3 linked regions of the Canis lupus familiaris genome follow. The protein of the gene in region 3 interacts with the protein of the main gene of each other region in a pairwise test. Links are inferred from orthologs where the notes say so. Each region holds a gene or a part of one and is shown on either strand. Other genes may lie near its edges.

The links.
Region 1: the proteins of TK1 (region 3) and TUBB2A interact in a two-hybrid assay, tested with the Homo sapiens proteins (2 studies listed by BioGRID and IntAct). The link is inferred for Canis lupus familiaris from reciprocal best matches to the Homo sapiens genes TK1 and TUBB2A.
Region 2: the proteins of TK1 (region 3) and RBM48 interact in a two-hybrid assay, tested with the Homo sapiens proteins (2 studies listed by BioGRID and IntAct). The link is inferred for Canis lupus familiaris from reciprocal best matches to the Homo sapiens genes TK1 and RBM48.

Annotation. Positions count from the first base shown.
Region 1 is NC_049256.1:4,734,361-4,744,926, forward strand, and holds TUBB2A (tubulin beta-2A chain), read right to left. Parts: upstream 5,166-10,566; 5' UTR 5,064-5,165; coding exon 5,007-5,063; intron 3,005-5,006; coding exon 2,896-3,004; intron 2,549-2,895; coding exon 2,438-2,548; intron 1,764-2,437; coding exon 703-1,763; 3' UTR 509-702; downstream 1-508. Other genes in the region: BPHL (valacyclovir hydrolase), read left to right, coding at 51-138. UniProt on the Homo sapiens protein: Tubulin is the major constituent of microtubules, a cylinder consisting of laterally associated linear protofilaments composed of alpha- and beta-tubulin heterodimers.
Region 2 is NC_049235.1:18,068,445-18,077,456, forward strand, and holds RBM48 (RNA-binding protein 48), read left to right. Parts: upstream 1-1,105; 5' UTR 1,106-1,116; coding exon of another isoform or gene 1,117-1,150; coding exon 1,151-1,261; intron 1,262-1,333; exon of another isoform or gene 1,334-1,489; intron 1,490-2,280; coding exon 2,281-2,471; intron 2,472-4,507; coding exon 4,508-4,653; intron 4,654-6,134; coding exon 6,135-6,703; intron 6,704-8,054; coding exon 8,055-8,141; 3' UTR 8,142-8,369; downstream 8,370-9,012. UniProt on the Homo sapiens protein: As a component of the minor spliceosome, involved in the splicing of U12-type introns in pre-mRNAs.
Region 3 is NC_049230.1:3,864,528-3,875,439, forward strand, and holds the start of TK1 (thymidine kinase, cytosolic), read left to right. Parts: upstream 1-1,482; 5' UTR 1,483-1,552; coding exon 1,553-1,618; intron 1,619-1,766; coding exon 1,767-1,798; intron 1,799-2,775; coding exon 2,776-2,886; intron 2,887-5,526; coding exon 5,527-5,620; intron 5,621-10,912. UniProt on the Homo sapiens protein: Cell-cycle-regulated enzyme of importance in nucleotide metabolism. Catalyzes the first enzymatic step in the salvage pathway converting thymidine into thymidine monophosphate.

The sequences.
Region 1 (10,566 bases), on a different chromosome or scaffold from region 3:
TAAGTGTTTTAAATGGTATGCCATTAATCATAAGCTTTTTTTCTTTTCAGGTTGCATCTGATGCCAGAAGGCAAGCACAACCTCCATCTGCGCTTTGCAGATGAATTCAATAAGTTAGTAGAAGACTTCCTACAGTAAAAATGCCCGAGAACCGCAGGAACCTGATGATGCCTTACTGTGGAATCACCTGTTGGTGAGCCTCTTGCTGTCATTCCTCAGCTCACCTGCTTTCCCATACTTTCTACTCCTCCCTGCAAACTGCTCCCAAATAGAAATAATGACATTAAAACATCCTCTAGGGGTACCTGGTGGCTCAGTGATTGAGCATCTGCCTTTGGCTCAGGTCCTGATCCCGCAGTCTGGGGAATCGAGTCCCGCATCGGGCTTCCCACAGGGAGCCTGCTTCTTCCTCTGCCTCTCTGTGCCTCTCATGAATAAATAAATATAATGTTAAAAAATAAATAAAAGAATAAAAATTGCCTGAAATGAAACTGAAGAGACCACAACGTTTTGGACACATGCTTTTTTATTAGTATAGATATCTTAGACAATACTGTAGTTTTTAGGAGTTCCACATTATTACACCAACAGTGAATTTCTGACAGAGGCAAAACGGAGCACCATAGTATACAAATAGAAAGACCATGCTTGATTGAGGACAACAGAAGGTCACTAAAGATGCACAATTTATTTGAGAAGTTCTTAGGCCTCGTCCTCGCCCTCCTCCTCCTCGAACTCCCCCTGTTCGTCGGCCGTGGCGTCCTGGTACTGCTGGTACTCGGACACCAGGTCGTTCATGTTGCTCTCGGCCTCGGTGAACTCCATCTCGTCCATGCCCTCGCCCGTGTACCAGTGCAGGAAGGCCTTGCGCCGGAACATGGCCGTGAACTGCTCCGAGATGCGCTTGAACAGCTCCTGGATGGCCGTGCTGTTGCCGATGAAGGTGGCCGACATCTTCAGGCCGCGCGGCGGGATGTCGCACACGGCCGTCTTGACGTTGTTGGGGATCCACTCGACGAAGTAGCTGCTGTTCTTGTTCTGCACGTTGAGCATCTGCTCGTCCACCTCCTTCATGGACATGCGGCCGCGGAAGATAGCGGCCACCGTCAGGTAGCGGCCGTGGCGCGGGTCGCACGCGGCCATCATGTTCTTGGAGTCGAACATCTGCTGGGTGAGCTCGGGCACCGTGAGCGCGCGGTACTGCTGGCTGCCGCGGCTGGTGAGCGGGGCGAAGCCGGGCATGAAGAAGTGCAGGCGCGGGAAGGGCACCATGTTCACGGCCAGCTTGCGCAGGTCGGCGTTGAGCTGGCCCGGGAAGCGCAGGCAGGTGGTGACGCCGCTCATGGTGGCCGACACCAGGTGGTTGAGGTCGCCGTAGGTGGGGGTGGTCAGCTTCAGGGTGCGGAAGCAGATGTCGTACAGGGCCTCGTTGTCGATGGAATAGGTCTCATCGGTGTTCTCCACCAGCTGGTGCACCGACAGGGTGGCGTTGTAGGGCTCCACCACCGTGTCCGACACCTTGGGCGAGGGCATGACGCTGAAGGTGTTCATGATGCGGTCGGGGTACTCCTCGCGGATCTTGCTGATGAGCAGCGTGCCCATGCCCGAGCCCGTGCCGCCGCCCAGCGAGTGCGTCAGCTGGAAGCCCTGCAGGCAGTCGCAGCTCTCCGACTCCTTCCTCACCACGTCCAGCACCGAGTCTACCAGCTCGGCGCCCTCGGTGTAGTGGCCCTTGGCCCAGTTGTTCCCGGCACCGCTCTGGCCTGCCAGGGGGAAAGGAGAATATTAGACACTAAAACATTAGGAATTCTGAATTGTCATTGGACTGCAGACTAATCTGCAGACTTGCCGGTTCTGCTCTTATATATACCCTTTTTTACCCATGGAAAATTTTCTACATATCAATGATCCTCAAAACCACTGGAGATCATAATGAGATAAAAGCAAGTTTAGTTTATATGGAATTATTAACTTATCAGGAAGGTGGTTTAATAGGAGCTCTGTACAAGTGTTCACAGCAGATGAAATAAACAGGCAGGAGCAAGGGCACAGTATGATCCGAAGAGAAGATGGGCCCTAAGCAGCTGCCTCCACTTCTGGGCATAACCTGTGCCCCTGGCCTTTGGCTTCCTGAAGTGGCTGCCCGCTGGCCCTGGGCTGCGATGCTACCAGAAGCCCACTGACTCCTGTGGGGACGCTGGTCCCGCTCTGTGTTCTTGACCCGTCCTAGGCCGCTGCGCGCTGGGAGGGCTCTAGAGGCCGCCTTGGGCCCACACTGTCCCCAGAGCTGCCCGGAGAGGGGCCGGGGGCTCAGGCCGGGACCCAGGCCTCTGTGGACCCCCAGTCTTCACCTGGCAGGCGACGCTAAGAATCGGGACTTGCCCGGCATTGAGGAAGGAGACTCCTGGAGCCCGTTGCCCTGACCGTGACTACGTACCGAACACGAAGTTGTCGGGCCTGAAGATCTGGCCAAAGGGCCCGGACCGGACCGAGTCCATGGTGCCCGGCTCCAGATCCACCAGGATGGCCCGAGGCACGTATTTGTTACCTGCGGGGAACAGAGCCGGACTTAGACGGGCGGGGGGCACAGGGATCACAGCCCGGGCTGTGCTCCATGCGCCTCTCACAGCAGCATCATTAGAGAAAATTCTAGCACCAGAGACAAAAGGCAGCGAACAGAGCTGTCTCTCTGCCTTAGAAGAGGAGCCAGCGGCGGCTGCTTAGTCATGGCCAACATGCAGGAGTCAGGGGGGCTTCGCCAGTCATTTTTAGCAGCTGACACTTTAAATGCATGCAAGCAGCCTCTCTGTGCCGGGGCCACCGGCTGTCCCTAGGACACTGCGTCTGCCCCAGCGTGCAAAGCAGGGGGACTGGGCAGAAAGCATGGCTCATCACCTGCAGCTTCATTGTAGTACACGTTGATTCTCTCCAGCTGCAAGTCGCTGTCTCCATGGTAACTGCCGGTGGGGTCGATCCCGTGCTCGTCACTGATGACCTCCCAAAACTGGGGAAGGACACACAGGTCAGGGAGGGGGCTGGCACCCTGGATGCCAGTGAGGAGGGCGGCCCCTGGGTCCCCTCCCTGTCCTTGGAGCAGGGGCCCCGTGGGGGCGGGGGGGGGGGGGGGCCTAGAGCTGCACCCGTGTGCTGCGGGGGCTGCCGCAGGGGGGCTCGTCGGGGCGCAGGGCGGCGGCCCCTCCCCCAGGCTGCCAGGGGCACTGCCCCGGGAGGGGGGGCGCGGCGGAGGCCCCGGCAGGGAGAGCCCCGGATGCTGGGGAGGCGGGCGCCCCCGGCAGGGCTGAAGGTCACAGCCGCCCCTGATGGGCAGGGAGGCCTGCGGAGACCCCGCCCCGCCACTGCCTCGGGGATGCGTGCTCCTGCTCGGGGTGCAAACCCCACCCAGCCCTGCAGGCAGCAGCCGGGACCTCGGACAGCAGCGGGCGGGTCGCCCTGTCCCCGCGGGGGCCGGTGGGGAGGGGTGGGGGAGAGGAGAAGGGTAGCGGTGAGGACGGAGGGGGGGAAAGGGCAGGGGCCGGAAGAGCGGCAGCCCTACAGAGTAGGGGGGGAGGGGGGAGAAGAGGGAGGGAAGAAGGGAGGAGGATGGGGAGAGGAGAGTGGGAGCGGCAGCCCTGCGGGGGTCGGTGGCTGGAGCCGGGCGCTGGGAGGGCGCAGCTCCGTGTGAATGTGCAGCGGCGGGGGGGGGGGGGGATGAAGGAGAGGCGGGGGGAGGCGGGGGAAGAGGCGGGGGGTGCGGAGGGGAGCGCCGGGCCCTAGGAGAGCCGCGGCCTCACCCCCCCGCCCCGCCCCCCCCGCCGCGGTCCGAGCCAGGGCCCCGCACCTGCCACCAGCCCACAGGCAGCGGCCCGCGACAGTGGGGCTCGGCGTCCATGGCGCCCCTGTAGGCACCGAGCATCCTGGTCTTTGTAACCTAAAAAGAAGTCCCTCTAGCTCGCCACCCCAATGACACTGCATTTTTTCATTCAAACTATAGAGGGACATACACAATCGAATTAAGCTGCGCTCCAGGCCACTGGCAGCGCGGCGGCTCGCCCACCCCAGCGCCTGGGCAGCGGCCGGGAGTCCTAAGGGCCCGTGAGCGTGAGCCCCACTGCGGCTCCGCGGGCCCGGGCAGGTCGGGGCGCTCCCCGCCGCGCTCACAGGCGCCACCGGGGCCCACGGCCGCCCACACCTGGCCCCGGCCCGCCCCCGCCCCCGCCCGCACCCTGGGGCCCGCCGCCCCTCCCCCTCCCCTGCCGGGATCCGCACCCTGAGGTCCTGGCGCCCCTCCCCCTCCCCTGCAGGGATCCGCACCCTGAGGTCCCGCCGCTCCTCCCCCTCCCCTGCCGGGTCCGCACCCTGAGGTCCTGGCGCCCCTCCCCCTCCCCTGCCGGGTCCGCACCCTGAGGTCCTGGCGCCCCTCCCCCTCCCCTGCAGAGATCCGCACCCTGAGGTCCCGCCGCTCCTCCCCCTCCCCTGCCGGGTCCGCACCCTGAGGTCCCGGCGCCCCTCCCCCTCCGCTGCAGGGGTCCGCACCCTGAGGTCCCGCCGCCCCCTCCCCGTCCCCGCCCGGGTCTGCACCCTGAGGTCCCGCCGCCCCCTCCCCTTCCTCTGCGGGGTCCGCACCCTGAGGTCCCGCCGCCCCTCCCCCTCCCCTGCCGGGGTTCGCACCCTGAGGTCCCGCCACCCTCTCCCCCTCCTCTGCCGGGTCCGCATCCCTCGGAGCCCGCCGCCCCCTCCCCGCCCCCGCCGGGTCCGCACCCTGAGGTCCCGCCGCTCCTCCCCCTCCCCTGCCGGGTCCGCACCCTGAGGTCCTGCCGGCCCCTCCCCCTCCTCCACTCGGATCCGCACCCTGAGGTCCCGCCGCCCCCTCCCCGTCCCCGCCCGGGTCCGCACCCTGAGGTCCCGCCACCCTCTCCCCCGCCCCCGCCGGGGTCCGCATCCCTCGGAGCCCGCCGCCCGCTCCCCGCCCCCGCCGGGTCCGCACCCTGGGCCCCGGGCGCGCCCACCTTGGCGCCGATCTGGTTGCCGCACTGGCCGGCCTGGATGTGCACGATCTCACGCATGGTGCGGGCTGCAGGCGGGCGGAGGCGCGGCCCGGGGAGCAGAGCGCGGCGCAGCCGGCGGAGTCCGCAGCAGAGAGCAGTCGCCGCCCCCCGCCCCGCCCTTTATAGCGCGGGAGGCGCCCCCGCCGGGCCCGCGGTGACGTAATGGGGCGGGGCGGGGGGCGGGGCGGCGGGGACTGCGGCACCGCGAGGGGGAGCCGGGGCGCGGTGCGAGGTGCGCGGCGCGGGGCTGGCCGGGCGCGGGGCTCGGCTGCCGGCGCCCCCTCCCGTGGCTCCGGGCGCCCGAGGCGGGCTGGGGGCGCGGGTCCCAGACGGGGGAGGGGCCTCGGCGGGGTGCGGGGCTCCTGCCTGCGCGGGGCCTGGAGCAGGTGCGGATCCGCAGCCAGGGTGCGGGACGGACTAGGGGGAGGGGCTCCGGGGACCGCAGGTGCCACCGCGTCGGGAAGACGGTGGGTGTGCGAGGGGCTGCGCTGGCCCCGCGCATCCCCTGGGCTCTTGGGCCCTGGTAAGGGCCGTGCAGCTGCGGCGAGTTCTGCGCGGGGCCTGCGTGCCACGGAGGATGCCAGGGGCCTCAGCCCCGGATCCCGAGCCCTCCACGCGCTGTGTCACCTAATCCCCGCGGCCTCCTTCCAGGGCCGCGCAGCCCCGTTCAAAGGCCACCACGCGCGACTCCTGAACGCTTGAGATGTGCCCTAGGCGCTGTGCGTGTAAGTCAGTCACTGCATTTCATGGACTCAGTAAGTTAAGCGACTTACTAATTTTGCATATTGATAACACATCAAAATACTATTTTGGATATAGGTTTTAATTCATTTTTTTTTCTTTTACCTTCTTAAATGACTACTACAAGGGCAGCCCGGGTGGCTCAGCAGTTTAGTGCCACCTTCCACCCAGGGCGTGATCCTGGAGACCCTGGATGGAGACCCCGGTCGGGCTCCCTGCATGGAGCCTGCTTCTCCCTCTGCCTGGGTCTCTGCCTCTCTCTCTCTCTGTGTCTCTCATGAATAAATAAATAGAATATTTTTTTTAATGACTACTACACTAGTAGCGACTACTGGAAAATTTTGTTACCTGAGTGACTCACATTGTATTTCCAGTGAACAGCCCTGCTCTAGAGTAGACGTAATTACTGTCCCAATTTCGGCGAAGGAGCCTCAAAGAGCTGAGTAGCTACAAAGCCAGTAAGTGAAGGCACCTCGAGTCCTTCCACAAAGACAAAGCCCAGGTGAGTTTTAAAGGCTTGGTCAGGGTGAGGTAACATCCAGTCTTGATTGTTCTCAACGATGATCCTGAGCGTTGGGCCAGGTGAGCGGGGACCTGGGGACGGTTTCTGTTTCCCTGCACATACTCCTTTTCCTCTCTGGGGCCAGTTTCTCCAACCATAAAATGATGATAATTATAGGTGCCCTGCCGCCAGCTTTGTGAGTAGGAAATGAGAAGCTCTGGATGAAAGCAGGTCAAATTTATGGATCAAGAATACCCTATAAAAGCCGAGGTGATGCTGCTGCTGTAGGCCCGAAGCCTGCTTGCCGGGTTGGTAGTGGCATCCAGCGGCGGTGGCCCGCGTCCACCTGTGGCCTGCGGCTGCATCACAGTGTCTTAGGGGCACCCGGGGCACCCAGGTGCTGTCTCAGGGAGGGAGGGGGTTCCCGGCTCCCGGCTCCCTCCCCCTCCCCCTCTCCTCTCCCAGCACAGAGTCCCCGCCCCCGCCCCCAGTCCATCCCACTGACATCATTGCCAGGTTCTTCGGCTTGGCCTCCACCATCTCTCCATCTCTATCTCCAGCTCCCATTTCCTCCCGAGCTTCTAGAGCCTTCCAGTTCCTCTGCAGAGAATGGCCCTGCTCCCTGTAGCTTCACTAACAACACAGAGCTACAGAGATTTTTCTGGAGGCAATTGCCTCTTGGTCTTTGTGGTTTCCTACAAGATGAGGATTTGGGGCCAAATAGGAGAAGAATATGTGACCTGGAAGGGACCATCTTGGGGACGTGGGACCCCAGTGGGTGGACATTTCCCCACCTGTGGCAGGGAAAGATCACCCTCGTGGGGGGTGCCCGCTCCACTTCGTCCTGCTCCGGTCGCTAAGCAAGTCACCTACCCTCTCTGAGCCTCTGTTCCCACATCTGAAACAGGGAAATCTGTTTTCCTTATGCTGGGAGGCAAGAGTCACTGCCTGTGACCCGGTCGGTCGTTTCGTGAGCATGCGGTTGATAAATAAATGACAGCATGGGTTCCCCGGGCCCAGGCACCGGAGGGCTGGCCCTTGGATTCTGGCAGCCGGAGGACGCCGCCTTGGCGGTCTGGACCGGCCTCCTCCCCGGGCCGCCCGCCCCTCCCCCAGGCCCGCCTGTCCTCTGTCCTCGGTCGGCACATCCTCAGAGGCACACAGGCAGTTTATTCAATGATGCCTGCCCGGCCTAAGGTGACTCATCGAGGGCTGCCAGCTCCTACCGTCGTCCTCCTCGGGGCCAGCGCCGCGCCAGCAGCTGTCACAGCAGCGCAGCTGTGGACGGGGGAGATGCCCTCCCCTGGAGCAGGCCTTGGGCAAGCTTTGGGGTCGGGGGTGTTCTCCGGACCCTCCCGTCCAGAAAGGAGCAGCTCTTTGGGCCCTTGGGCAGGGTGGTGGGGGAGGAGAGCCAACGTCGTCCCGCCATGTGTCATTTCCTGCTTTGGACTTGATGTCACTGACATCAGGAGTGTGAGCCGGGCCCTGCCTGAAGGCACTTTGGGGTGATGATGACAAAATTCAAACTGGAAAGGAAAGGAGTGAATTCCCGGTAGAAGGCTGGGCCTTGCCTGCGTGGTACAAACGGGCTCAGAATCCTGCCCCTGGCTCTCGGGGCCGTCGCCTCCTGCCCTCCCTCTGCTCTGGCCGGGGTGGCCTCTGCACGCCTGGGCTGTCCTGCGGGCCACTGCTGTGAGCCGAGGCCGTCTCTGCCGGGACACCTGTGATCTGGTTGAAATAGATCTAAATTGGGATCCTGAAATTTCGAAAACGTCAATAGGATAATGAAGAGCCAAGAACCATTCCGGCAACCAGGTGGCATGAATTATTCGGGAGCAGCCTCACAGCCTGTTTGTGCCCTCGGAGAGGGTCCAGGGGACAAGGCGCCTCAAAGTCTCTTTCCTGTGAAACGCTCCTGCAGCTGTGAGCACACGTTTGCAAGCTTTTAATAAAAGCATCTCCATATGAAGATGGAGGAATTTTACTTAAAGCTTTGGAAGTGCTTCCTTTTTAAAAAGACTTCCTCAGGGGCACCTGGGTGGCTCAGTAGTTTGGCACCTGCCTTGGGCCCAGGGTGTGATCCCGGGATCCGGGGATCGAGTCCCACATCGGGCTCCCTGCATGGAGCCTGCTTCCCCCTCGGCCTGTGTCTCTGCCTCTCTCTCTTGAATAAATAAAATCTTAAAAAAAAAAAACCAAAAACCTGACTTCCTAAACTATAAATAGCCTGGACCCCAGTTTAACTTGCTTTGGAAACATCAATGCCAACAAGTTACAGTTTATAAATTTTTGCACCAGATAATAATAATTTGGAGTAAATGCACGGTAATGTTTTTCAGCCCCTTTCTGCAATGTTTCATGTCCCGGGATGTGTTATTTTTACTACAATTGTCGCTCTGGGCCTTTCGAAGTTGAAAACAACAAATGTGTGTGTGTGTGTAATAAACACATACATTACATATACGTATATATTTTATCATGGTAAGAAACTTATTTTTATATACATATTTTCTGACTATGAAATTAGAAGCTTTAGAAAATACAAAAGAATGGAAGTGTGTCTTTCTGCTCTTCTCTGTGTATACTTTTTTTTCACTGTGTTTGATGTACTACCTTCTTTTCTTCTTTCTTTCCTGGTCATTTGGGTGTTTTTGTGCGTTCCTTTTTAACGTCATTTCAGTTACATTTGCCTCGGACATTAAAAAATGAAGAAACGCTGTGTTTTCTTTCACCATGGCTTACATCACAATCTCACAGATTCTCAAACATATATAACCTTCTCCCAACTGCTACCATTTTGCCCATAAGCTAGAGCATCTGGAACATACCAGGTTCTCCGAGCAAGCCCTGCCTCACGCAGCCAAGGCTGTTCCCAAGGCCGGAATGAATGTCGCCCCGTTTGGCGCAGCCCCACATTCCCCGGATGGAGTGAAGAACACAGGCCGTGGGTGGGGTGGGTGCAAATCCCAACTCTGACACTTATTAGCTGTGTGACTGAGAGGAACTCACTTAAACTCTCTGTGCCTCACTTGCTTCATCTGGAAGATGGGAATAAATGGCAGTACCTACCTCCTCGGGTCGCTTCGAAGACTGAATGACGGGATATGTGAAAGCACCTAGAATCCACCTGCTGTGTTACAGCAACCTCAGCCGTTGGAATTAGTATTCCTATTTCCTTCCTTCCTTCCTTCCTTCCTTCCTTCCTTCCTTCCTTCCTTCCTTCCTTCCTTCCTTCCTTCCTTCCTTCCAGGGGCTCCTCTCCCTAAATCAACTCCAGTGACGCTTTCCCCATGAGGTCACTTGCCCTCCTTTGTGCCTCATAATATGGTGTCCACATCTTCCTATCACAGCCCCAACCCTTAGTTCCTGGGCTTGCAGCAAGGAAGGCACCAGGAGAAATAAAGTCACGGAAGAATGAGCTGAGGCCCCTGTGCAGGCTGCAGCCCCCTCCCAGAGCCCAGGGCTCCGCAGGCCAGTGGGTGTTGGGGGGGCTTCTGAGCCCGCGCTGCACAGGCCCGGGAGGGCCCTGGAGGGCGTGCAACACGGGGGGCCTATTGCTGTCACTTTGCGACCCCCTGGCCCCCTGGCCGCCTGTTTGCCAAATGTGAGCCCTTTGCACGCCACAGTGTGAGTTGCCAAGTGTCTGGGTGAGGCCAACCATGCCGACTCCCACGTGGCCAAGCCCTGGGTGCACCCAGGGTGCAGGGCATTTTCCTGGGAGCCCCAGGGCTCAGCGGTGCCCCGTCTCACCGCCAGGCAGCCGGGTGGGGGAAGGCTGCCGTCAGCAGGTTCCTCCCGGGCTGTGCAGGCCGCGGTCCTGCGGAGCCTGATGGCTCTGCCTCGTGTTGCAGGTGTGCTGGGAGGCTGCCAGCAGCCCGGGGCGGCGGGGGGGCAGGCGGGGGGCTCCCCTGGTTCCCTGCCCTGCCTTCTTGCTGCCCTCACCTAGACTGCCAGGGTTTTAGCCCATCACGCAGGAGCCCCCCTGCCCCCCGACACAGGCCGCACAGCTTTCCCCACGATGGTCTTTGCAGGGGGAGCATCAACCGGCCCCCACCCCTCATTAGATACCCCGGGGAAAGTGCACTCAAAATATGAAGTGCCTTTTTTTTTTAGCTATAAAATGATCCTGAGGCACATTTTTAAAAGTGTTTATTGGACCTATAGTGCATTTAAATTACAGTCTGCCGAGGTCTCCCTCATTGTGCAGCCAGGCGTCTTCAGAGAAGCCTCGAAACTGTTTCTCATTCGTGGTGCCCTCCTTTTTTCCCAACTAAATTC
Region 2 (9,012 bases), on a different chromosome or scaffold from region 3:
GCGGATGCTGTATTTCTGCCAGTAATTAATAAAAAAAGGACGACTGACGGCAGAGGCTCAAGTAATCCTACCTATGTACCTCCAGGTATGCAGAGTTCTACTGCACATCCCCGGCACACCCCGGACTGGGGGGAGCCTCTGGTTAGTGACCTACTCCGCATGGGGGCCGCGGTGCTCCGCTGTTAATCTACAGGGGCTCTGCAAACCCAACCCGCCCCTCCTTCTGGAGTCCAGGACGGCAGTCGTGCAGGGATCTGGAAATCACTGCCAAGAAAAACATTTTTCAAGATAAAAATAAAAATTAGCGACTTCCCAGGAGCTTTTCCAAACCGGAGTGAGGAATATTTCTGAATGCAGACGTAGACTTAGGATGTTTGTAAGCCCAGTCTCATGGAGTGAAAACACCTGGAACAGGGCAAGTTAAAGGCCCAGGGCTGCACGACCTGCCCCCGGCGGCCGTGCCCTCGAGGGGCCCTCAGTCCGGCCTCTGAACCGCTCGGCGGCGACGGCGGAAAGGCAGCCCTCGCCACGCCGCTCGGGGCGGGGGGCCTGAGGGTCGCCGCGTGCCTCCAAGGCCTCAGCCCCGTCCGCCCCCAGGCTGCTCCCAGGTGTCCCGAGTCTGGGCGGGGAGCCCCGTCCGCGGGCGGCGCGGTACCTGCAGCAGGTGCAGCTGGGCCACGAGGCGCCGCGGCAAGCGGAGGAAGCAGTCGCGAGCGTTGGTGAAGACGACAGTCGCCGCCACCCCACCCCCGTCTGCACCCGCCAGGCGGTCGCCGCCCCACATCGTCCGGCGCCGAAGACGCCCCCGCCGCGGCAGCCCGCTCCAGCCGACGCCCGCCGCGGGGCAGGCCGAGGCCGTCGGAGCCGGAGAAGATCGATCGGCCCCGCCCCCTGCGGCCCCGCCCCCTCGCCGCGCGCCCGTCCGAGGAGGGAGGGGCAAGCAAGCTTCCCCAGCAGTCCCGGGCCTCTCCGCCGCGCCGCCGGAGGGCGGCACCTCGCTCACCCAAGTCTCACTCGCCGGAAACGATGCGGGCCGCCGTCGGCTCTCCAGCCAATCCAGGCACGCCGTGGCCCATTCCCCTCCGTCATTGGGTGGGCGGGAGGGCGGCCCGGCGGATGTTGTCGTTTTGGCCGGAGCCAAGTAGGCAAGATGGCGTCGAGCGGCGGGGAGCTCGGGGGCGTATTCGATCACCACGTCCAGAGGGCCGTGTGCGACACGCGGGCCAAGTATCGGGAGGGGCGGCGGCCTCGCGCTGTCAAGGTAAAGTGACTTGGGTTTTCACTCGCTATCCTCGATAGCGTTATCATGCCCGGCTTGATAGATGAAGGCTTGAGGGGCTGCGGGCCTGCCCACCAGGCATCGGCGGTGGGACGAGAGGCCGGCGCTCAGTTACCAGACGTTCTCACGAACTCCTCGGCTACCTGCTAGAACGTCAGCTCCGCGGGGACGGGGCTCCGCTTTAGTCTTTGTATCTTCCGTGCTTACGTGGTAAGCGCTCAGTGAATCGTTCTCGCTCTCTCTCCAGTTAACTTCTCCTGAGCCAACTTCCGGAAAATATGTCCATTGAAGATACTCTGTGTTTTAATTAGAGGCCCTGACACGGAGGGGTGAATTTATTCTTTATTTTTTCTGCAGACCGGCTGAACAGAATGTTTCTTCTTTTCAGGGCTTTAAGTTTTTTGTTTTTTTTTTTAATTTTAATTCTAGTATAGTTAACCTACAGCGTTATATTAGTTTCAGGTGTACTATATGATAATTCAGCACCTCTGTACGTTATTTAGTGCTCATCATTGTAAATGTACTCTTTAATCCCCAGAGCTTTTTCTTCTTTTTTTTTAAATAGAAGATGTGTCTTAGGCTTATTTGGAAAATACATTTTTTAATTTAAATTCAGTTAGCCAACGTATAGTACACAGTGTCAGATGCAGATGTTCAATAGTTTATCAGTTAGGTACACCACCGAGTGCTCATAACATCATGTGCCCTCCTTAGTACCCATCACGGAATTACCCCATCCCCGCCCACCTCCTCTCCAGCAACCCTCAGTTTGTTTCCTAGAGTTAAGAGTCTCTCTTGGTGTTTCTCCCTCTCTGATGACTTCCCGTTCAGTTTTCCCTCCCTTAACTACGATCCTCTGCGCTCTTTCTTATATTCCATGTATTAGTGAACTGGAGAGTATTATGTTATTTGGTGAAATAAGTCAATCAGAGAAAGGCAGGTATCACATGGGTTCACTAATATGTGGAAAATACATTTTTATGTGTCTGCATTTCTTTTAGGTATATACAATCAATTTGGAATCTCGGTACTTGTTAATTCAAGGAGTTCCTGCGGTGGGAGCAATGAAGGAATTAGTTGAGCGATTTGCTCTATATGGTGCAATTGAACAGTATAACGCTTTAGATGAATACCCAGCAGAAGACTTTACGGAAGTTTATCTTATTAAATTTATGAATTTACAAAGTGCAAGGTAATGTGCAAGTTAAGCTTAAGTTTCATTTCCGCCATTCCCATTGCTAGCACATTGGTCCCAGTTGTCCCTCGTTCATACCTGAATTACTGAGTAACGCTGTATTATTTTAATCTTACTCCAGTCTTTTTTTTTTTTTTCTTTTTAAGATTTTACCCATTTATTCACGAGAGACACAGAGAGAGAGGTAGAGACACAGGCAGAGGGAGAAGCAGGCTCCCTGCAGGGAGCCGGACGTGGGACTTGATCCCAGGTCTCCAGGATCACGCCCTGGGCTGAAGGCAGGTGCTAAACCGCTGAGCCACCCAGGCTGCCCTATCTTAACTCCAGTCTTAAATGTCATTACCTTGCTTAACAATCTTCAGTCATATATTGTGGTAGATTACAAAATGGGTTTGGATAAGTTTTCGAACTTCACAGCTTACTAACATCGTGACTTTGGACAAGTCATTTAACCTCAACAAGCCTGTTTTTTCTAGTCTCTGAAATCTGTACAGTAAAAGGACCTACTTTGAGGGTTGTGTGAGGATGGTATGAAATAATCCATGTAAAGGGCTGAAACATAGTGCCTCCTGTTGAGAATGCAGTAAACATTAGCTATTGAAGTTCTTTTTTTTTTTTTTTTTTCTTTAAACTTGCTGGGATTTTTTTTTTTTTTAAAGATTTTATTTATTTATTCATGAGAGACACACAGAGAGAGAGAGAGGCAGAGACACAGGCAGAGGGAGAAGCAGGCTCCATGCAGGGAGCCCGACATGGGACTCAATCCTGGTCTCCAGCCGCTGAGCCACCTGGGCTGTCCGCTATTGAAGTTCTTAATGTTATGCACCTATGTGAATTGACTCAGTCTTTTCCTGCCTTCTGCATAAATTCTGTGCTTCAATAAGGGTGAAATGCCTCATCTAGTTTTATGTTTACCCCATTCTTGTCACTAATTTGCTCCAATATCCATCCTTTGGCTATTACCATTCATACTTCCTTTTTCTCTTTAAAAAAAAAAAAAAAAAAAAGATTTTAATTACTGTATCCCCAACATGCTCAAACTTACAGCACCAAGATCAAGCATCACATGGTCTACCGACTTAGTCAGTCAGGTGCCCCACCATTCACATTGTCTTTCCGTACTCCAAATAGCACTTGCAGTCTGCCACAAAAGCACTTGATTTTTATAGGGTTATGTATTGTTCTCAGTTTGCTCCCTTATGTGATCTCACTTCCCCTAACCAACTTCCCCTCATAGTTAGCGAAGCATATTTTCTAGAGTTTTTGCATCTCCCACAGCACATAATATGGTAGGTTGTGGAGTTCAGCATCTCAATTTGAATCATAACTCCACAAACTAGTGTGAGCATGGCTAAATTATAAATCTCCTGAGGCCTCCTTAGGTCCTCATAGGGTTTTATGAAATCTTAATTCAGGTGAAGTACTTAGGGCACTGCCTGGTGTGTGATAAAATCTCAATAAGTATTTCTATCATTATCCCTAGACACGCAAGTACTTAAATATTTATTGTAGTATAATGCTTAGCCAGTTACATATGTTTGATAAGTATTTGTTGAATATCATCATGTAACTTTCTCGTTGCTTATATATTCAATATTTACTCAATTATTGAAGATTTTACTATTACAATATTTTTATTTGTGAATCCATTGTGCTGAAAAGGCTAAATTGGGTATGAGCTGACTCTTAAGGGACATTTAACACAGAGAAATCTCTATTTCATGACCACAGATTGTGTACCTCAAGTTAACTATTGGCTCCTAAGTTGGTTAAAGGGAGTCTGGTTATGTGTGGATGACTTAGCTCAAAATCTGTTAGTAGTATAGAGCGAGGGGATGAAAGGCTTGAAGAGTATGCACTAGATCAGTAGAGTTAATACCATACACAAGTAGAACATCTTAACTCCCAAACCATAGGATGTATGTACACCTAGCAAAACCTGGACTTTTGGATCAATGCATTGTATACTATTTCAGCTTTCATCCTAAGTAGGTCAAGATTAATAAAACATGCTATCACATATTTCTGTTTAGGACAGCCAAGAGAAAAATGGATGAACAGAGTTTCTTTGGTGGATTGCTTCATGTATGCTATGCTCCAGAATTTGAAACAGTTGAAGAAACTAGAAAAAAATTACAGGAGAGGAAGGCTTATATAGCAAGAACTACTAAAAATAAAGGTTTGTAAAGCCAGGTACTAAACATCTTTTGTGTGTCAGGCAGTCTGCGAGGTGTATCATCATAGAGCCTCCCAGTCTAGTGGGAAGAGAGATAAATAATCACAATATTCATTAACTATAAACTGCAGGATTCTGTGCAGCACTCTCAAGTAATCTGGGCTGGAAAGGGAAAGATGTTAGTTTGTGACAAGAGTCCTACAGGATGAAAGAGATGGCTGAGTTTTGAAGGACAAGTAGACATTACTCAGAAGGGGAGATGGAAAGGTAAGCCAGGTAGCATGTTTAAAGAGCAGAGGAATAAGTAGACATCATGTGTATGAAGGAACTACAAGTAGTACAGGGCAACCACAACATGGGCTGCTCCTAGAAATAAGATTAGAAAAGAGGACAGGAACTGAATCATGAAGTGCCTCGTGTCTGTCCCATGCTGAGGAATTAAGGCTTGACATAAAGGCAGTGAGAAACAATTATGATTTGCAGACTAGTTACCTACTGCCAATCTAAAACTATTAAATGTGAAAAAGTCCCACTTTTGACCAGTAGCTGGCCAGAGACGCCATATGCCCCACTGAGTTTCACTAGACATAAATTCCAGGTGCCTGGAATAGGGTCTCATGGGATTTGGTACAAGGATTGTAGGAACAGAGCACTCAGAATTGGACTAAAATAATGTGTGTGGTCTGAAATCTGAATAGTCCTGGAGGCTCAGATGACCAGTTTTCCACCCTTTAGTTGAAAGACCAAGTCAGTATCCACACAGTTATTGAATATGAGGAGTTTATGACTGGGGAAGTGGCCTGTGGCAGAGGTGAAGAGAAGTAAGGAGGGAAGACTCTTGGAAGACTTATTTGAAAATTTGGCAAGAGAACTGTTGAGAGCCCATGGTCATTAGTAGACCCTGAACTTTAACCCATGGGATATGTGAATAGTTCTAGGAAAACTTTATGGTTGTGTGGCAAATAAAATTACAAAATATGGGTCCAGCATACTGCCTCTTTTAAAAATTAAACACAAACTAAGCAGCATGATACATTCATACAGTAGACTCCTCTGAAGCTGTGAAGAAAGAAGCATTCTATGTAATGACCAAGAAAAAATCTCTAAGATCTCTAAGATCTACAGTTAGGTGGAAAATGCAAAGGAACAAAGAAATGGATATTATGGAAAAAGAGGAGTTGGTGGGAGAAGGAAAAGTAAGACCTAGCTGGACAGATAAATAAGAAAGAATTGGGATTACTTATGGAGAAGTAGAAACGAGGAAGATGGGGAGCAAAGAAAGAATGACACTTGACACTAATATATTCTTTATCCTTTTTAGCTTTTAAATACAAGGTATTGCCTGCTTAAGAAATAAATTATTCAGGGTACCATTGTTAACATTTAAAGTAATGTTTGTTTTTAAAATTATAGTTTTCTGAATGATGAAAACAATAAAACATTTCTTTTTCCTCTTATCTCACCTTTTAAATTGTAATGTGAAGATCATTACATAACAAAGAAGAAACGGGTTACAGAGCTTAAAGACACAAAAGATTTCAGACAGAACTTCCATTCAGGGACATCTGGATTTCGTGCAGTCACTGTGAATACTTCTGCTGGCAACTCAGACCCTTGTCTTCCTTATTCTTGTGAATTGCCTTTATGTTATTTTTCCTCAAAATGTACATGTTCGTCAGGGGAACATATGGGTAAAGCATCCAACTTCTCTCAGGACAGTAGAAACCATGCTAAAACAATGGAGCATTGTATGCACAATGACTCTTTGCAGAAGATACAAATGAAACCTTTAAAAAATTCATTGGCCTTCCCTGGTGCACAAAAGGCTATTACTTCTTCAGAGGCAGTTGAGAGATTTATGCCTAGGACAACACAACTGCAGGAGCGGAAAAGAAGAAGAGAAGATGATCGTAAAATTGGAACTTTTCTTGAAACAAGCACAAGTAGTAATGAGGTTATGATTGGGCCTCTGTTACCAGACATACCTAAAGTGGACATGCATGACGACTCATTGAATACCACAGCAAATTTAATTCGGAATAAACTTCAAGAGGTAAGATCATTTTTAAAAAACTATTTTAAGAGACCATCTGGTCATAGGACTAACAGCTAAATCGAGATTTGTGGCAGCTAAAGTATTGTCATTAATTTTTTTCATTTTCAGTTTTTTTTTTATGTGTTTTTCTACAGTTCTGTTGAATTAACTGAATTTGACTTAACAGAAATGTATGTGCTTTGATGTCATTAATCCTTGCTTTAAACAATGTATTTCATATCATTCTAGCTCTAAACTATAAAAGCAGTGGTTTCAGTCAGTGAGGTTGGTCTGTGAGAATTGAGCCCAGGCCCTCCCTTTTTAAAGCTCCCTGGTTGGTTCTATTATGAGCCAAAGTACAGAACTGTTGTGTTGAAGGAAAATTACTACAACTTATTTCTTTAAAGTTATTACAAAATTACATTAAATTAAAATGCTTTTTTCTTCTTTGATAAAGATAGCCATAGAAAAAGATGAGATTTCTAAAGACTAGCCACTACGGTCTGCATTTCAAAATGTCAGCTCCTTAAATAGAATACAGCTCGATTGTACTACTTAAGTAGTAATTTCTTTACATATTATTTATGTAATCATTTTACATTTTCCAAGCACCAATAAAAGAAAGCTAACATTTGAATTAGCTTTTGAAAGATACCTTTTTTATGGGGCAAACCTCGTAGAAATCAAGCTGAGGAAGAAAGACCATTCTCTTAAACTTTAATCTGAGGTTCAGAGAGTGCTTTTTGTGTAATTGTATGTATATTTTACAGAGTGATTAAGGGAGTCTGAGGTGGCTTAGTTTATGTGTATTTTTTTTTTTACCTGAAAATTACTATCTCATTAAGGATGAGCTCCTATTTTATAATAACAAAAATCTATAAACGCAGTTTCCATGCTTAAGCCTCTTTTTAAAATTTTTAGTTTGTGCTGGCCCCCTTCCTTCAAATACAGCTGAGCTGAGGCATAGATAGAGATGCATAGCGCTCTCAGCCAGAGCAGACTGTATTTTCAAGAAAAAAAGTTGTTAGGTTCAATTCCTAAAAAGGAAACAGCAGAACAACAAAAATGAGAAATGCTTAAACACAACTTACTACAGATGCTAATAATAAAGGATTATTATAGAAGAGTACATATTTATTTTTCTCCCTTCAAATTTTTTTTCTTGTTAAATGGCTTTAGAAATTTTACTCCCATCAGTGTTTGGACAGAAAACTTTGCTCTGTAGGCTATACCCTGAAATTGGACTCACTCTGCCTCCAATGTGATGGCAAGATTTGAACTACTAGATGTAGATCCTACCTCTTCTATTAGTTTATTTATTCCTGTGCTATAAGGAATAAATGTTGGTGGTTCTCTTTTTTTAAACTAGGTAATTTCATCTGTGCCAAAACCTCCAGAAGACAAGCTGGAAGATGTGCATTCAAGTCGTCCATTAAAACAAAGAAGAAGAATATAGATTGCCAGCAGCAAATTATGTTTCCTGAGGGACTATTTATTATTTTTAGCCTGTCATTTTAATTCTTGAAGAGGTTGTACTGCAGGAATTTTCTAATGCATTCCTCTTTGTAATATCATTCAACCTACTTATTTAATAAAATTTCATCTTTTAAAATTAGTTTATCATGGACAAAATACATGCCAGCCAAATATATTCCTTAATAAAAGAAAACAACTTTTCCAGTGATTCTGGTTACATCTTACTAGCTAGAACTGGGCTCATGGCTGTTCCTAACTGGGGAGGTCTGGCATGGTAAATAAATGTTTAGGTTTTCTTTTTTCTTTTTTCTTTTTTCTTTTTTTTTTAAGGTTTTCAACTTCTGTGGTTGAGGAAGCAAGAGAAAAGGGGGTTATGAAAGGCTTATTCACAGGATTTGCCTTAAGATCTAAGCCTTGTTGGCTAACTTAAAAAGTAAAATTAGTTTATCATTACTTATAGGTGTTATTTTGATCATACTTAATATTACAGAAACTGTTCTTATTCTCACATTGCAGTAATTATAGGTAAATGAAGTGAAGCAAAGATAAAAACTTTAGAATGCAAGTAAAGATAGGCAGTCAGGATCTGCTTCTGATTTTAATACAAGTATTGAGTAATTCACATTCAAAAACTAGAAGTCAGGATGTGTCTGAATGCCAGGGCTTCAAAATCAATACAATTCTGTAAAGTAAAAAAAGGTAAACTATTAGAACAAACTATTAGAAAATGCTAACCACTACCCTTAGCATACCCACATTGTTTTTCCTGTCAGGGAACCACATAATTGGAATTTGGAATAATTATGTTCACTCTTTCCCTTTTTTTTTTTTTTTTTAAGTGATAAAAATAA
Region 3 (10,912 bases):
CAGTGTGGAGTTGGACACGGGGCTGGAACCCATGATCCTGAGATCATGACCTAAGTTGAAATCAAGGGTCAGGCCTCAGGCGCCCATGAGAGGGCGGGATTCTGATTGCAGGAGTCACGGCAAAGAAACAAAGGTCAGGAGAGAGGAATCAAAGGTCAGTTTGGAAATGCTGGTGAGTCAGACCACCGAGACACAGAGGTGAGGTGGAAGGAGGGACTACGGGGAGAGGATCTCAGATGTCAGGCTAAGACACAGAATTAATGCAGAGAGTAGCAAGGAACCAGGTTTGGGAGAAAGAGCTCAAAGGCAAGGAGAAAGAGTGAAGCCTAAAATGGGAAATTTTAAGACGGGGTGGCTTCATGGAAGGGTCCTGGGCTCTGGTGTCAGATGGGTTGAATGCCATCCATGTTCTATCCCTTACAGGCTGTTTTACCCTGGGCAGCTTACTTATGCTCTCTGGGCCTCAGCCCCATCTACATAATGGGCATAATAGTAGCATCACAAGGTTGAAGGACATAAAGCATGTAAATGAAGTAAAACTAACCATTCAAATGTGGGTTATGGCCCCCTCCCGTTGAACGAGGTGCCTGACCAGCGTTCTTTAGATCCTGTACAATCTGTGCCTGCGGCACATAGCGGCACACGCTGTCACTGCTACCGTCATCTTCCCTGTCGTTATGTACAATAACAATAATGCAATGGGTTTCTGACACAGAGAGAACGGGGTTTTCTTGGGGGGGGGCGGGGGCAGAATGCATAACTTATCAGATTCTCACATGTATCCGTGACCGGAAAACAAATAAACCAACCCAAACCAACCCAAAATACAGCCTGAAATGCAGGGAAACTAGTTAGGAAATCATAGTTGAGTGATAACCCTAGTAAGTGCTTTGCCTGTCCTGCGGTGAACGCCGGCCTTTCCGAATCCTTCACCCCGGCACATCCTCCATCCACGTTGTGGGACCTCAGTGTCGGGACTGTGCCTCCTTTATGGATATTAGCACAGCCTGTTTTCTCTACCCTGAAGACCAGGCGCCCCGAAGCCTGCCTGTGGCCAGAAGCAAAGGAGATGCCGGCGCTAGGGCTTTGGGAGCGGCGCACAGGGGCCGCCGGCGCCCTGGGGGGCTGGGCTCTGGGTCTCTAAGCTCGCCTCCCCGAGGGGAACGGCCTCTAGGCCCCGCGCGCCCCGCTCGGCGCAACCCGCCTACCTCCTTGGACAGCCGCTTCCAGGGCGCCGGGCCCTCCATCCCGCCGCGGCCGGCCAGAGGGCGCGCCCCGGCCCTTTAGAGGCCCTTTAGAGGCGGCGGCCGGGGCGGGGCCGACCGTCCAGGTGACGCGAGCCCGCCGGGTCCCCGGGGCCGCCCACGAGGGGCGGGCCGCGCTCGAATCTCCCGCCAGTCCGCGGCCGCGCGCTGATTGGCTGCGGGGCGCCCGCGCCGGCTCCCGATTGGCCAGCGCGCCCGGGATAAAGGCCGGCGGCGGGGGCACCCGGGTCAGGCTGCTGGGCGGTGGCACCCGAGGGCTCCCGAGCGGCGGGCTTCGTGCAGGCGCCATGAGCTGCATCAACCTGCCCACCGTGCTGCCCGGCTCCCCCAGCAAGACCCGGGGGCAGATCCAGGTGCCGGCGCGGGGGTGGCACCCCGGCGGGCGCGGGTGGCGGGCCGGGGTCGCGACCCGGGTGCGGGTTGGGGTTGGGGTTGGGGTTGTGGCCCTGGCCTGCAGTCCGTGCGCAGCGGGCCCCGAAGTGACCTCTCCTTCTCTCCTAGGTGATTCTAGGACCCATGTTCTCAGGAAAAAGGTAAATAAGTAATGTCCTCGCGGGGACGGCCTTCTCCCCCCTCCCTTCCGGGGGCCCGTCCTCCTCCCCTGCTGCCCCTCTCAGTGCCCCCCTGCAGGACGACCCCTCCCCCGGACCGAGCACGCGTTCCCGCCCCATGCGGTCCTGCAGGAGGGCGCCTCTTCCCTGCCCGCGGGGTTCAGACCCTTCCATGGGGTCATGGCACCACGTCGCCCCCCTGCAGCAGGTTATGGCTGCTGAGGGTGTAGTCCTCCCTCCCCCCACCCTCCCACTAAATCTCTCTTGGAAAGGAGCAGCCAAGTCTTTTCGTTTCGTTTTGGTTTTTTTTTTTTCAATTTAAAATTTTAATTCTTCTAAAATGGTGTCCTCGGTGAGCTGGGTCCTGTGCACCCTGCAGCATCCACACTCCTCCTTCCCTTCCTAGTGTTTGTTTCCTTAAGTAGTTTACACACTAAGGAGTCAGGCCAGGATGCCTTTGCTCCCCTGATGTGACAGGACGGTGGCCTGACCCAGGCAGGGCTAGTCGGCCCCCTGAGTGACGCCCTCTGCCCTGGGGGGGGTCACTGCAGGGCAAACCTGGTGCCCACCACAGTCAGGCCAGGGTGGGCTCTGGGACCCAGAGGTAACTGCTTTTTTTTCTTGAACAACAACAACAAAAGACTGCGAAGTCAATGCAGACCATGTGAAGACCTCTGGGATGGGACTCTTTGGGGATGCAATCCAGACCCCTCTTCTCTGTCGGAGGCCTTTGACTCTACTCACCCCATCAGATCCCTGAGACATTTATTCTCCCACCCCCTCCCCAGACCACCTGACCTCTGTTCCTTGCCATCACCACCCTCTGTCCTCTCTGGTTTTTCTGTCCATTGGTGGGTCTCAGGCTGTAGACCCCCAGCAGGGGTGGGGGGGGAGCCCCACTTGTGCTAATGGGGACTTCCTTAACATCCTGGGTCTCACCTAGTGCTCTGCTCTTGCAGTACCGAGCTGATGAGAAGGGTCCGTCGCTTCCAGATTGCCCAGTACAAGTGCTTGGTGATCAAGTATGCCAAAGACACGCGGTACAGCAACAGCTTCTCCACGCATGACCGGTCAGTCCCTGTTCTCTCCTGTCCTGTCCCAGCACTTCTTCCGGAAACCTGGTGAAAATGCGCAAGGGCATAGGCCATACTGTCAGAGCGCTCTTCAGCAGGACTGGTTAGCCATGCCGGTGGGCGGCATGGAAACGTGCAACTCAGCAAACTCTCAAGGTCGCTTGGCAAGGGATCTTAGGACTTGGCCTCTCACAGAGTTCTGGCCCGGTGTTCTTCACAAAGGGAGATTTTGTTCCCCCTCTCGCTCCCTCAGAGTCCATTTGGCAATGTCTGGAGACATCTGTAGTCTTCACAGCTGGAGTAGGGGAGGGCATGCTATGGGCATCCAGTGGGGAGAGGCCAGGGATGCTCCTGAATTCCCAGTGCACAGGACGGCCCCCACAACAAATACTGACCCTGCCCCGATGGTCAATAGTGCCGAGCTTACATCTGTGCTGTTGCAAACTGGTTTTGTTTAGCGTGCATGTTGCTTTTCATTTAGCTTTTCAGTTGTTTTATCTTGGTTGACTCTGTTGTCTTGTGGCCTTCATGCTTCCCAGTTTTGTGTTTATCTGCCTGTGCCCTGCACACGTTTCAGTCTGCAACCTGAGGTCGGGAATGAGAGGTTGAGTTTAGTTTTACTCTTGCCTGTTCCTTGGCTGCAGATTTCTGAGCCTGAGATGTTACCTCTTTTGGACTTGTCCGCCCGAGCCGCCAGCGGCAGAGCCACGCTGTGCCACAGGGAGGGCTTGCAGCCTCAGGACTGCCCCGTGTGTGGCTTTGGGGTGGGAATGTGGGGTTTCTGAAGCCGGGCGGGTGGTGGGTGGATAGTGTCTAGGAATTGGAGTTAAAGCATCAGGATGTGAGTGACTGGTGCTTTCTGCCGTGCTGCCCTATGCAGGTCATTTAGGTCTTGCAGTTACTTCTTCCCTAAAACATGTGTCTGCTTCTGCTGCACTGGCCAGGGGCACATCCAGGGAGGGCAGTGCGAGCAGAGGAGGCCGCATTACGCAGTGATAAGTCAGATCAGGGGCATGTCTGAACTTGGCCGGAGCCGCACACATGCCCTCTCACTTGGGCCACAGAAGCTGAGACGGGCCATGGCTGTGACTCAGCCCTTGGCGGGAGTGACAGGGCTCCAGAGATGCTGCCCTTGCCCACCCTCTGGTTTTCTCTGGCTTGGGGTGGGAAAGGGGAATTTAAAATGCAGGAAATACCATCTCCTGCTCTTGCCAGATCTTGGAGTAGACTTATAGCAAGATAATAACTGAGCAGTGGTTGTATTTTATTTTTTCTAAATACAGCTACAGGCTGCTGAGCCTTTGGAAAGTACCAGCCCCCAGGGGTACCTGGATGGCTCAGTTGGTTAAACGTCTGCTTTTGGCTCAGATCGTGATCCCAGGGTCTTGGCATCGAGCCTCCATTTAGGGAGGAGACTGCTTCTCCTTCTCCCTCTGCTCCTCCTCCTGCTCTAGTGTGCACGTGCTCTCTATTTTATTTTATTTTTTAAAGATTTTATTTATTTATTCATGAGAGGCACAGAGAGAGAGAGGCAGAGACACAGGCAGAGGGAGAAGCAGGCCCCATGCAGGGAGCCCGACACGGGACTCGATCCCAGGTCTCCAGGATCACGCCCTGGGCCAAAGGCAGGCGCCAAACCAGTGAGCCACCCAGGGATCCCCTCTCTCTTTCAAATAAATAAATAAAATCTTTAAAAAGGGGCAGGGGAGTACAAGCCCCTCAGAAGGCTACTTAGAGCAGGAAAAATGAACACAGAAGAAAACAACATTGTAGAAAAACACAGAGACTATTTAAAAAGACGGGGGAAAAAAAATAAAAATCAATAAAAATAAAAAGACGGGGGAGAGAGAACAGCATCCCTGTTCAGAAAAGGCCCTGGGTGTGGGGGCGGGATGGGGTCCACCGTGCCACGTAATGCACTGGAACCTTCCCACACATGGCCTTTTGCTTTCAAGCTCTTGTGAATACGACTCTCCCTGTGGGGCGCGCAGGGCAGCACTATGACCTTGGATTTGAACCTTGGCTCTGCCAGTTAATAGCCCCACGAACCTGGAAGAATCCTCCGCTCGGCCACAGGAGCCCAACGGAGGGAATTCTCTGGCACTGCAGGCTGAAGTTCAGGCTTCTCTCTGCGGGGACACACGGAGCTCGGGGCCTGGTGCTAATGCTTTGCCCAGGACCACGTTGGACTTTCCCCGGGCAACTTTACCTTTGTGTGCCCCTTCCTCCATAAAAAGAAAGAAGTGAAAAATTATATCTCATGACCGCGTTGATAATAAAGACAACTAGAGTGCAGGCTGAGTTGTATTTACGTACTCTTTTTTCCCATTTTTAAGAGAAAGAAAGCGTTTCGCCTGCCCTGGCCCCCTGAACAGAAGCAGAGCTTTTGAGTCCCCGTTAAGCTTTTTTTTTTTTTTTTCCCCATTAAGCTTTATATCACGCATTGCTCATCTCTGGTCCAGAGCATCAAGTGGCCTAACTTGGGTTGAATAACTGGTCTGAACATGGGTCTTTATTCTCCCCAGATGCCCTCTCACAGGCACTAACTTCAAGCTCGGGCCAAACGGTGCACGTGCTTTGCGGGGAGGGTGGGCCTGGGAGCCGGTCCCTGGCTCACTGCTGGCTTTCTCTCCCCAGGAACACCATGGAGGCACTGCCAGCCTGCCTGCTCCGGGACGTGGCCCAGGAGGCCCTGGGCGTGGCTGTCATAGGCATCGACGAAGGGCAGTTCGTAAGTTGGCTTGTCTGGCCTTCTGCCTACGGACTCCCGGTCTGTAGTTCACTTGCTTTAACCGGTGTCTGAATACCCTCTGGATTCCCCGTACTGCTTTTCATGTTTTAAGGGATTTATTTTACCTTTTTTAAAAAATATATATATACAATAAAAAGAGGGGTGGGGCGGGGCACCTGGGTGGCTTAATCAATTGAGCCTCTGACTCTTGATTTCATTGCAGGTCATGATCTTACGGTCGTGAGATGGAGCCTCCCATTGGGCTCCGTGCTGGGCATGAGGCCTGCTTAAGACTCTCTCTCCCTCCCCTCTCCCCTAAAAAAAAAAAATCTGTAATATATTATATATATATATTTATATTTACAATGAGGGGAAAAAATTAGGTTTCTTGGGGTGCCTGGCTGGCTCAGTCCATAGAGCATATGACTCTTGATCTCGGGGCCATGAGTTCAAGCCAGTTTCTCAACACTGGTGTGTAAGAATGTTTTGCTTGGCTCACTGTTGCTTCTGGCTTGTTCCTCTTCCAGCTGAAGTACATCCTTTAGTAATTCTTACAGCTAGGACGTGTTGGTGGGAAGCTTTCTGCGTCTTGGTAGGAAAATGTCTTTAATGTTCTCTACGGTAAGTAGAGGGCAAAGGGTACCTTGACTATGGTTTCTCCCCGTTGCTTTGGAAAAGCAGTAGCTCTTCCTGCAGCTGAGGAGAAGGCCGCCGTTGGTCTGTGGCTGCCGGCCTGAGCAGGTAACGAGTAACGGGTTTGCTCTCAGGAAAGTGTGTCCTGGGAGGTTCTATGCTTGGTGTCTGGTGTGCCTTTGACATGTGAGCACTCATGTCCCCATGCCTGGTGGGGAGAAGGATGCCACTATCACTCTGAATCTCTCTCCCCACCTCTGGCAGGTGTTCTGGGAACATCTCCCAGTGTGTGTGCTTTCAAAGCCTGCTTTTTATTTGGGATTTCCAGTTCTTTTTGTGTAAGTCCTGCTCTAATTCACATATCCTTGCTATTTACAGATGTACCATTTGTCTTTATTTATTCATGAGAGACACAGACTGAGAGAGAGAGAGAGGCAGAGACATAGGCAGAGGGAGAAGCAGGCCCCTCACACGGAGCCCGATGTGGGACTTGATCCCAGGACTCCAGGATCACAACCTGAGCCAAAGGCATCTGATGCTCAACCGCTGAGCCACCCAGGTGCCCCTGTACCGTTTGTTTTAACTGCTGCTGTTCCTTCCCTTGTCTTTCTGAAAATCGTGCGTGAAAGCCTTTCCTGGCTCACTCTTTTCCAAGTCAGTGATGGGGAGGCTTGCTGTTGGCTTCTCAGGTTGCCCTGGAAGGGCGCATTAAGAGAACGGAATTGAGAAAGCTTTAGGGGTCCCTGGTGCGGGGTGGCATACCTAGAGGTTGCATGTGTGGCCTCTACTGACCTTCTGCCACTGGAATTTGGGCACCTGGTCCCCCACCTTTTTTTTTTTTTAAGAATGTATTTATTTATTTATTTGAGGGAAAGGAAGGGGGGGGAGAGGGAGAAGCAGGCTCCCCACTGAGTAGGGAGCCCGACACAGGGCTGGATGCCAGGACCCTGAGATATCATGACATGAGCTGAAGACAGACACTTAACCCCGTGAGCCACCCAGGGTCCCTGTGCCCTGAAATTCTTTTGTGTGTGTGTTTGGTGAGTGGTTAGTGATTGCTGCAGGGAGAATCCATCTTGGGAACCGGGGGCATCTATCCCACTGAGGGGCTGGAGAGGGCTTGGTTATTAGGACTAGGGCTTGTAGGGGTCATTCTGGACAGGGTTTTAGGAGGTTAGCTTAGTTCTCAATTCAACGCCCTCAGGAAGGAGGGTGATCCCGACCGGGATCCTAAACCTTCTTGCTAGGGAGGGAGAACCATGAGGCTGAAGTGGAGTCGATAAAGCAGCAGCAGTCACTCCTGTTGGCCAGGACAGGGGAATGTTTGGTCCCTTGTAGCTTATTGAGTGTTGACGTCTGTCTCCGCTCAGACAGGACTATGGAGGGTCTTGTTTTTGTCTTGACACATTGCAGTCATAGAGTGGCCTTGCCTCATGCTCGTGCTCCATGAAATTATTTATGTTCCACGTGATAACTCCAGGGCCCAGTTGTGAGGGCCAGGCCAGCTCCTGCTGCTGGGCTGCTGTTCTCTTTTTACAACCCAGAACAACAAACAAAGCCCCATTACACGTTGGTTCTACATCTGTCTAGTTTTTATAGGCGTGCATTTTTATTTAATTAATTAATTAATTAAAATATTTTATTTATTCATGAGAGACACAGAGAAAGAGGCAGAGACACAGGCAGAGGGAGAAGCAGGCTCCATGCAGGGAGCCCGACGTGGGACTCGATCCCGGGACTCCAGGATCACACCATGAGCCCAAGGCAGGCGCTAAACCGCTGAGCCACCCAGGGATCCCCTGAGCCCCCCAGGGATCCCCAGCGTGCATTTTTAAATAGAGGGGCCTCCTATCACACTGTGGGCCGTTTACCCGTATCAGCAAGTGTACCCATCCTTATGAGTGTTTACAAATGTACTACCTCACTTATGCCAGCCCCCTGGCATGTGCATTTGAAGTCTGTGATGGGCATCTTGGGCTGCTGGCTGTTGTATTGGGATTTATCTGCTAAGTGGAATTGCTGGTCAAGGGGCCAATTCCATTCATTCATTCATTCATCCATGCTTTTTCTGGGCTTGTGCCCCACACCAGCTGTGTTCTCAGGGTTGGGGATTCAGCCAGAGTCTCCACCCCTGAGCCTACCTTCTAGTCCAGGGAGAGAATGATGTCCTAGGTCAGGTGGAGACAACTGGCCTGAAAGGCAATGCCAGGGGGACAGAGCTAAGGTGGGGTGGCTAGGAAGGGGCCTGCGAGAGAGCCAGGGAGTGAGCTGTTGGCCGGCTGTGTCTGCGGTAGGAGGGAGGTGGGTGGGCTCTGGGCAGGCTGAGTGGAGAGTGAACAGCAGGCGCAGAGGACAGGGCGGTGGGACCGCTGAGCCTTTGCAGAGATTCCCTAGGAGAGAGGTGTAAAGGGCAAATGGCAGAGGGTGCGTGTTTGTGCACACCCGTGCCCGCGCACCCTGTTCTACTGCATTTCTCTGCTACAGAGAAATTACTGCTACTGCTACTTGACATCTGTTTCCATGTTTATTGGCTATTTATATTTCTTTATCTTTTAAATTGCCTTGTAAGGGCTTTCACTCCTTTTTCTCTTGGTTTATCTTTCTTCCAGTGCACTTGATGGCTGGTGTCACTTTGTCATGTGCTGTGATATCCTCCCTATTGGCCTTTGAATTCTGTCTGTGGCATTTCATGTAGCGTTTCACCATCCACAGCTGAATATTTTACTTTGTCCGTCCTTTATTACTGTCCTTTGTGGCCTTTGCCCCTGTGAGGCCAGCATGCCTGCCAGGGAGTGAGGCCCCAGCGGGGGCAGAGCCAGGGGTCACTTGGCCGCACGTCACAAGCCAGCCAGCTCTTGGCAGAAAGATGACGGAGGTGCAAATCCACTCGGAGGCTTCCTAATCTCTACTCTGGGCTCTGTCCCCTCCATCAAAACTCCTTTAGGAAGCGAGCTTGCTGCCGGTCACCCGGAGGTGTGGCATGGGCAGCTGGACACGAGTGGGCACACTTGCCACCAGCTGAGAACCCTCTGCTGGTACTTTCCTACATGGATCCCATGTTGTAACTGTGTCTGCCAGGAAAACCCAAAGTTTGTAAAGTGCTTAGAAGTTCTATTATGTTTTTTATTTATTTAGTTTAAACATTTCGTTAACTTATTTGAGAGGGAGTGAGAGAGATCACAGAGGGCGAGGGAGAAGCAAACTCGCCACTGAGCAAGGAGCCCAACGCGGGACTCGATCCCAGGACCCCGGGATCATGACCTGAGCTGAAAGCAGACGCTTAACCTACTGAGCCACCCAGGCACCTTACTTATTTTTTAAGAGTTTTTATTTATTTAAGTAATCTCTTTACCCAACGTGGCGCTCAAACTCACACCCTGAGATCAAGAGTGGCGCTCTTCTGACTGAGCCAGCTGGGCACCCTGAGGTTCTAGTTTACTTTATATTCTTTTAAAGATTGTATTTACTTGAGAGAGTGGGAGGGAGTGGGGGGAGGGGCAGAGGAGAGGGGAAGCCAACTCCCTGCTGAGCATTTCCCCACCCAGAGATCATGACCTGAGCCAAAACTGAGAGTTGGAGTTTAACAGACCGCACTCCCCAGAGGCCCCGCTGAAGTTTTATTTTAAGTGTAACCTGTATTACTTGCCTAGGGCTGCTGTAACAAGTGGCACCAAGCAGACAGCTTACACAGCAGCAACTGATTCTCTCCCAATTCTCGAGGCTGGAAGCCCAAAGTCAGGGTGTGGACAGCAGGCTCGTTTCCTTGTGAGGGCTGGGATGGGAATAGTCCAGGCCTCTGCCCTTGGCTTGTAGATGGCCATCTTCCCTCTGTGTCTCTGTCCAAGTGCCCCTTTCTCGTAAGGACAGCAGTCCTATTGAATTGGGGCTCACCTTGCTGACCTTACTTTAATTGGGTGGCATTTGCAAAGACCCTTCCTCCGAATGAGGTCAGATGCTGAGGTATTGGGGGTGAAGGTTTCAATGTGAATTTGGAGGGCGGGAGGGGACACAGGTCAACCCATAATATAACATAAAAACTAACAGCAATAAAAATAAATGCCAGTAACGTGCTTCCCAGCGAGTGTTGTGAAGTGTTGCCGGCCATCTGCACAGAGCTCTCCTTATCTTTGAGACCTTGGGAACGCCTGCTGGGGACTGTTTCCCAGGGAGGTGGCATGTGAACAGGAGACGAAGTGAGATCTTTGAATGTCGGCATCATTTGCATGTGGGACCATGCTAGCATGGGGGGTGGGGCGGGGGGGGGTGCTTCTGTAGCTTGGGTCTGGCCAGCCCTACAGAGAGTAGTAGGAGTTGGCTTCGTCTGAATCCTACTCAAATCACTCTTGGTTTTCCTAGCCACCTTCACGGTCCTTGTCTTTGCTAACTGTCCAGGTCTCTGTAACCTCACACCCCAGTAAGTGGGCCAGGTCGGGCCTGAACAGCGTGGGGAGAGGCCCACTGCCCCAAGACAAGAACGTGCCCGTTCACACAACCCAAAGAGCAATCCAGATAGACACAGTCCACTGGAGGCAGTATGCTTGCACAGTGAAAACCCAAAGGATCTGCACAAGTAGCAGCCTCACCCTGGCCCCTCAGGATGACAGCTGGTTTACCAAGTAAACACAGGGCCTGCTGTGTAAATAGCTGGCGGAAACTTGA